Cricetulus griseus: one gene and its partner. The main gene of each other region encodes a partner of the protein of the gene in region 2 in a complex. Links are inferred from orthologs where the notes say so. Each region holds a gene or a part of one and is shown on either strand. Other genes may lie near its edges.

Evidence for each region. Proteins that work in one complex are often made in the same cells at the same time.
Region 1: the proteins of Stap1 (region 2) and Lat2 are in contact, whole or in part, in a crystal structure (PDB 3MAZ), measured with the Homo sapiens proteins. The link is inferred for Cricetulus griseus from reciprocal best matches to the Homo sapiens genes STAP1 and LAT2. Residues at the interface, in NP_001304698.1 of Homo sapiens: Arg184, Arg203, Pro204, Gly205, Ser206, Ser212, Ile215, Gln217, Ile219, Lys225, His226, Tyr227, Lys228, Glu239, Leu240, Glu241, Tyr255, Phe256, Glu259, Thr260, Arg261, Asn263, Leu264; in NP_054865.2 of Homo sapiens: Asn134, Ser135, Tyr136, Glu137, Asn138, Val139, Leu140, Ile141, Lys143.

The regions. Positions count from the first base shown.
Region 1 is NC_048597.1:113,700,334-113,704,279, forward strand, and holds the start of Lat2 (linker for activation of T-cells family member 2), read right to left. Parts: upstream 2,801-3,946; 5' UTR 2,704-2,800; coding exon of another isoform or gene 2,680-2,703; intron 2,392-2,679; exon of another isoform or gene 2,369-2,391; 5' UTR 2,350-2,368; coding exon 2,263-2,349; intron 1-2,262. UniProt on the Homo sapiens protein: Involved in FCER1 (high affinity immunoglobulin epsilon receptor)-mediated signaling in mast cells.
Region 2 is NW_023276807.1:151,312,939-151,316,967, reverse strand, and holds the start of Stap1 (signal-transducing adaptor protein 1), read right to left. Parts: upstream 2,801-4,029; coding exon 2,681-2,800; intron 1-2,680. UniProt on the Homo sapiens protein: In BCR signaling, appears to function as a docking protein acting downstream of TEC and participates in a positive feedback loop by increasing the activity of TEC.

The DNA of each region.
Region 1 (3,946 bases), on a different chromosome or scaffold from region 2:
TAACCCTCACACCCTGAAAGCAAACCTAATGAAACTCATCGGTCACCACCAGGCCACACCCAACTGGAAAAAGAACATGAATCAGAAAGGAATTAGTTAAGAAGAGGGCAAGGATCTGAGAATGGCAGTGGACATGAGAAGGAATTGGTTAATGTGGTCAAGATGCATTCTTTCCATGTATGGAAATGTCCTAAGCCTAATACTATGCATAATTAATCCATGATAATAAAAAGACTGAATGGGGTGGGGGCTGGAGAGATGGCTCAGGTTAGGAGCACTGACCCAGAGGACCTGGGTTCAACTCCCAGCACCTACATGGCAGCTCACAACTGTCTATAGCTCTGGTTCCAGGGGATTTAGAACCCTCATGCAGGCATACCTGCAGGCAAAACACCAATGTGCATAAGATAAAGTTTAAATTATTAAAATATGATTGAATGGATGGGGGGTGGTGAGACAGCTTTAGTAAAAAGGAGCTTGCTGCCCACTCTTCCATCCCTTTCCGCCGACCGACCCACGAACGGGAGCCCTCATCCAGTGGCTGATGGAAGCAGAGACAGACATCCACAGATATACACTGAGCTGAAATCTGGAATTTAGTTGAAGAGAGGGAGGAATGAAGAGCGAAGGGGTCTATACCAGGCTGGAGAAACCCACAGGAACACTTGGCCTGAACAAGGGAGAGCACATCGACCCCAGATGCTGTCGGGGAGGCCAGTACAAGACTGATCCAGACCCCTGAGCATGGATGTCAATAAGGAGGCCTCTGCACTCCAGGGAGCCTCTGGTGGTGGATTAGTATATTTCCCTGGTGCCAAGAAGGGACTTTAAGAGAGCCCATCCCACATGAAGGGATGGCCCTGGACACATGGGGAAGGGCCCAGAACCAGCACAGGAAGATTTGGTGGACTTTGCAGAGCCCCCGTTGAGGGCCCTACCCTGCCTGGGGAGTGGTGGGTGGATGGGGTGGGGGTAGGTTGGGGGGGGGGAGGAGGGATGGGGGTGAGGGGAGGGAGAAGGGACTTATATGTGAAACAAGCTTGTTCCCTAACTTGAACTAATAAAGAAAGAAAGAAAGAAAGAAAGAAAGAAAGAAAGAAAGAAAGAAAGAAAGAAAGGAGTTTGCCTCCAAGTCTGAGGATCTGAGTTCGATCCACAGGATCCACATGGTGAGAACTCACTCCTACAAGTTATTCTCTGACCTACACTGTAGCACACACCCATCCATCCAATAATTAAAAATGGATTAAAATATTGGAAAACAAAGCAAAAAGAGCCAGTGTGAGTGTATGGGTCTGGGCCTTGCTTCTCAGTTGGGGATTCCTCTGATCCCAATTGTCTTCTTCCCAGGGAGCTCAAAGGTGCATACAGGGTTCAAAGAGGTGCATACTGTGCCAGAGAGAACCACAGTAAGAGTAACAGTGATGGAAATCCAGAGTAGGCCCAATGAATCCCTCCACTCTGTGTGCTCATGCTCTCTACAGACAGCAGGTGGGCTGAGGGAACTGAGGCTGGGTCTGCAGGAGGGGCAACCCACGAGTCACACAAGGCCCCAAGGGGCCAGGCAGGGCTGGCTGTGGGTGTATGGGGGACTGCCACAGCTCTGTGGCTCCGTGTAGGCCAAAATAGCTCAAAGGGAAGTGGGCAGTTTTCATATGAACAAGGTTTGCACAGGGCCAGTCTCTTGACTGTAGCCTCTGAACCACTAGCCTCAACGGCCCTTAGTGATTACTCTGCAACTACTCACCCTTCAGGGAACAGAGGCCACCAGGGTCTGCTCAGATGAGTACGACCAATCACACAATCCTGGATGGCTGTATTCATGCTACTCTGGGGCCTGTGGTTTTAGCTGAATATTTCTGTGGTTTGTTCGAGACAGGGTCTCATTATGGAGTACAGGCTGGCTTTGAACTCCTGTACCCCCACCTTAGCATTCCTAGTGCTGTGATTACAGGAGTGCACCACAATCTCTACCTGCATGGACCAAGGATTTGGGGCTTCAAATGAGAGTGGAGAGAGGACTCTGAAAAACCTATTGGAGGCCAGAGGGCCAGGTGAGTTGTGTGTGTGTGTGTGTGTGTGTGTGTGTGTGTGTGTGTGTGTGTGTGTGTGTGTATGGTCATGTGTAGAGGTCTGGCAGGCCCTTTTCCAGGCCAATGGTGGTGGTGGTGGAGGCTGGGTGGAAGGAACCTGGCCAACCTGGGCTACCAGAACCAAAGAACCCACCAGCTCTACAGGGGTTATCCATCAGAAGGTACGAACCTGGGTCAGGCTTGGGTGGACTTTTGGGGACAGCAACTTCCTCCTCCTGGCTGGGACAGGGCCTGCCTGGGCAATTCCCCAGGGCATCCCAGATTCACCCACAGGCCTGTGGCATTAGATAACTCTTCACTGATGGGAGAAACTGAGTTCATTTCTGGCTTTTGGCTGGCCCTCCCCAGTCACTGGTAGTGACAGAACCCCCCTAGGGTCTCACAGGCTGGGGGTTTGGGAAGACAATGATCAGTAGGTAGGTGCCTGGAGCCCCTAAAACAGGCTGCCCCCAACGGGCCAAAGTGCCCGGCCAGGGCAGGAGGAATCAGGTGTCCCAGCCACCGCTTAGTCCATAGCTACTAAGGGTCTTGTGGGGGATAGTGCAGGGGACACCTGCTCAGCTGGGCACCCCTGGGAAATGCTTACCTGAGAGTGGGGGTTCCTCACCATGGCCACCCCATCCTGTGCCGGCACACCTGCCCAAGCCAATGCCAACACCAGACTCTGGCGGGCAGCAGGCAAGGCGGTTGGCTTCCTGTCACTACTGAATCATCCTCGCACATCCGCCTTGGCCGGACTGCTCGGCTGGCTAGTGACAAAAGGGGTGGGGCAGACAGAAAAAGATAGAGATAGAGAAGAGCGGGCCATAGTGGTGTATGCCTTTAAATGCCTGTACTTGGCAGAAGCAAGCAGATCTCTTTTGAGTTTGAGGCCTGGTCTATATAGTGAGTTCCAGCCAGGGTTACTACATAGTGAGACCTTGTCTCAAAACAAACAAAAATCAAAAACAAGGAAGGTAGGCCAGCAAGATGGCTCGCTGGGTAATCGCACTTGCCACCAAGCCTTACAATTTGCTTTCTATCACCAGGAATCACATGGTGGGAGAGAACTGACTGATATCTGCTAGTTGTCCTGATATACATGTACACACACACACACACACTCACTTGGGGTGGGGTAAAAAAAAGAAAGACTCAGGAGAAATGGGAAGTGAGAGATAGGCACGGAAAGAGGACAGAAAGCCCAGGACTCACACAGCACACACCAAAACGAAAGCACAGACACAGGCCCCAGGGGGCACAGAGAAGAGAGGCAGTGTCAACCCAAGAGTTCACACACACACACACACACACACACACACACACACACACACACACACACACACACGAGAGAGAGAGAGAGAGAGAGAGAGAGAGAGAGAGAGCCACAGACACCAGAGGTGGGAGATACAGATGCTCAGTTCAGGAGAGGACCAGAAAGAGAAAGACAGCTATGCAGACAGACAACCAGAGGCTGGAGGAAGCGAAGCCAGTGTCCTGCCAGAACCCACAGAGATCTCAGAGTGGGAATCAGGAAGACAAGATTAGAGCAGCAGAATCCCATAGAACAAACACCAAAAGGGCAGACAGAAAAAGATAAGGGACATGGGGGACAAGGAAGAGACATGTGGTGGATGGCACAAAGACAGCAGATGGAACAAAGGATCAGTGTGTTAGAAACAGCTGGATAGGGCCCCCACCTGCCTCTTTGTGTGTAGGGGGAGAGGGTATGTGAGTAGAGACCGGAAGTCAGCCTTCTGAGTGCCTTCCCAGGGGATAGAACTCATGATCTGCCTTAGTGGGAAGCACCTTTGCCTACTGAGCCACCTTGCTAGACCACCTAGTGCTTTTATTTTTTTGTCTTTATGTCTCAC
Region 2 (4,029 bases):
CCTAATGTAGTTCAAGTAAATCTTCCCATATCTTTCCCTTGAAAAATACTTTTCATAGATTCTTGACCTGAAATGCAGGGTCCTTCTAGAATTGTATTAATGTCAGCATATGTTGGTGCATTTTCTTTTAAAGTGATTGCAACAATTGTTTGTGCGATCCTTTTCCTTGAACTGGGTTGCCTCATCCAGCCTCGATATGATGGTATGTGCCAGGTGTTATTGTGACTTGTTATGCTGTGTTTGTTTGATGTCACTGGGAGGCCTGCTCTTTACTGAGGAGAAACAGAGGGGGTGTGGATCTGGGGGAAAGGGGAGATGGGAAGGAGAGGCAGAGGAGGGGAGGGGAGGGGCGGGAGGGGAAACTGTAGTCGGGATATAATGTATGAGAAATAAAAATAATAACCCTTGCAATGAGAGCATCTTGCCTTGTAGTTTCTTTATTGAACATGTTCTTAAACTACGTTTTCTCCATTTTTATCTTCTGAATTTGTTTTCAGCAGGGACCTCTGCATAGCCTCTCCATGTCATTTGTGTCAAGGAACTCCACGGCTGACCTGGCAGCAATGTTCTCAGCTCACCTTGCTTCTAAATGCTACCTAGCATTTGCTACCAGTTGTGGAGAAATCCCACCTTTTTCCACGAGTATTTCTCTCATAGTTTCTATGTTTAAGTCTGTGAGCAGCTATGGAGTTCCTTTGAGCAATTTTATTTACAGACCTCAAACTGACTTTAGAATTCTAGCAAACAAATAAGTAAATAAGAAGAAAATGAATCTCATCTTAAGTGTGAAGCTGGTGTTTTATATGGCTATCATTTCCATCTTGAAAACCATCACGTGCCTTGACATTGTTGCTATTCTCTAGTTCCTCCCCTGTTTAATACACAAGAGAAAGGGACTTGGTAATAAACTCAAATGGGTAAACAAATTGGTTTTCTCATATACACGTACCACAATTATTTACATTTGCACGCTCCCATTGAATCCAGGGCCCGATGTGCATTAGACAAGTGCTCTACCATTTTGCTAGATTCCGCAGCCCTTATGAGAAATACTAGATTATGGTTCATTCTATTTTAAAGCATGGTTTCTAAGAAAAACCAGAGTAGGAGTTAGATAGATAAGAAATTGTAACTGATACGAAGCTAAGCCTCGTGTCCTGTTTGTCGAGTACAAGATATACAATAAATGCTGCTTAAAAGTAAATTGATTCAGGTCTGTACTTTCTTATCCCACAAATAATAAAGAATACAATACAAATAATAATATATTATGCTAGCCAAGTAGAATTTTTTTCTCTTTGCAGTTGAATAAATTGAGTTCAGGGGAGATGATGGAGTAATTTTCACAAGATCACAAGGTGTATGTGGAAAACCATCAAGTGAAGACACGGTTTACAGCTACTCTAAAATTGTGGAATTTTATCTGCTAACCATGCCCATATAAGCCTTCTTTAAACACCTTAAGATATTGGTATCAGGCACAGTTATCAGAGACACTCTGGAAAGAGAGTCAGTGACCAAATTTAAATTACCAACTAGAAATTTACTTTCTTGTTACCCATTGTTGATGAAGTAAAACCATGTAGTTGAACTGTGAGTGATCAATAACAACAACAAAAATTCCAAAATAGCTTGAAAATGTACTAAGAAATGTTTAACACCTACAACAAGAATTACAACTTGGCTTTCAAATGGCAAATATCTTTATCATGTACATAGAAAATATAAATGTACTGTTACAATATTTTCATATTCATAATTTTTCCACGAATGTCAATGAATCATCTGAAACCTTGACTTATCATCATTGAACATTTATTGTTATTTCTGTAAACACTTAAGTCTTTGCTAGCTTCAGCCTATATTAACATTTCATAACATTTTACTTGCATCAATGGCTTCTTTTTTTTTTAGTAACATGATTTCATGTTTATTTCTCTAATTAATTTTATGTTGTCCACAATTATAACTTTAAAAGTAGTACTTTTGATAACTATAATTTGAAATTTTACATTTAAAAATATGTGGAATACTTTGTGAGTTTTCATAGAGAAAAAGTACTTTTTGAAAAACAAAATTAGTGTATTCACTATTTGCAATAATACCCTAAATGCTCTCTTTTAAAGCCAGTATCGTGAACAGTATTTTCAGAATGAAACAATAGTAAGTAAACATCAAATTTTCACAACTTTATCAAAGTTTACCATTTATTACAGTTTGGTCATTAGTTTACCATTTATTACAGTTTGGTCATTATACACTTCAGTATGAGTGAGAGTAGGAGAAGGTTAATTTCATCATAAAATCACCTTATCTTCATGTACTTCATCACCACTGAAGCATAATATTTGATTGTTGAAAAAACATAAAACAAAATTATCTTGCAAGCCAAAATCGTATGTGATGCTCAATGGAAATTTCATTGAGTTTTTCAATTATAGCTAAATATTAAAGACCTTATTATACATGCTTATGTATGCATATATATGCACAGTTTATATATATTTAAATATATTATAAGTTTAAACTGTACATTGTATTTAAGCTATTCAAAATTAGAATAGTTCTCTTCACTTAGGGAAGAGGGTATAATCCAGACAGAGATAGGAGGCATTGTCATGAAACAAGTTTTATATTAAGTGAAAACATTCAGGCTTAGAATTCTCATCTACAGACTTACCTGGTGATTAGACCGTTTGACTAACAAAAACCCTTCAAAGTACAGCGGTAGAGCAGTGATCTTCAGCCTCTCCTGGAAGATCCTGCGGGGCGCTGGTTTTGGGGGCTTCTTAGCCATCATGCCCGTGGCCTTGGCGTTCGGGCTCACTTTCAGCCTCAGACAAGATGAAATCTCCGTTGTATGAGAGGAGAGGCAACTGTTCAAAGAGGAAGTCCCAACTTGCTTTTTAACCACCAACAGGACGGGGACACACACACACACACACACACACACACACACACACACACACACACACACACACACACACCCTTTACTTCTTGTGAAGTAAGAAAGATCAGGCACAGACCAACTTTTAAAAGGCAACCTCTTTTCAGGCTTCATGTGCGTAGATTCATGGTAGCAAAATAAACAGCAGATTATCATCTAAGGATGAAAGGAACAGGTGCAGGCACCGTGGGCTTGGGGACAGACACCATTGTTTGGCTTTTCCAACTTTTATTACTGTTTATTGCTTTCTGTCTTTATTTCTAAAAGACATGACTTAAACTATTTATTGAATATTATTGTACATATATATATAATATTCTATAGAGAGTTTTTAATTTTTTTTTGTTTTGTTTTAAAACAAGTCTCATTTTGTAGCCATGACTGGCCCGAAATTTTACTCTGGAGACCAGATTGGTCTCAAATTCAGAGATCCACTCACTTCTGCCTCCAAAGTGCTGGGATTAAGGCTTGTATCACTAGGCCTAGTCATGGCCATAGAGTTTTATAGGAAAGAGAAAGATGGCCTCCAAGAAAAATACCGAAAGGAATTTTTTGACATTTACTTAGTGTGTGAGCATGTGTGTGAGTTCACACTCAGGCTTATGTGTGCAGATTTGTGGCAATTGGTTCTCTCCTTTTACAATGTGGGGCTCGAGTATTGAATGAACCCAAACCCTTAGGCTTGTCAGCATGACCCTTAACCTTCTGAGCCATTTCAACAGGCCTACACAGGGATATTCCTGTTAAGTAAACATCTGCTTACTTATGTCTTTTCGTTTTCCTTTTAAAAAGGAAGCAAAAATAAATAAATAAATAAATAAATAAATAAATAAATAAAAGCTAGTTCACCAAACAAGGAGGTTCTTTTGGTCTGTTGATTTGTAAGTAAAATTAATCCTTAATATACCAAGAACCAATGATGTCTCCTTCAACCATCTCCCCCAACTATTTTAAAACTCCAAAGTTAAACATTATCTTAATGGTTAATCAGTCTTAAACATTATCAGCCAGTTAGACATGTCCATATTCCCAACATCACTGTACCCTGGCACTACTGCAGTAGAAATCCTATTACAGATAGA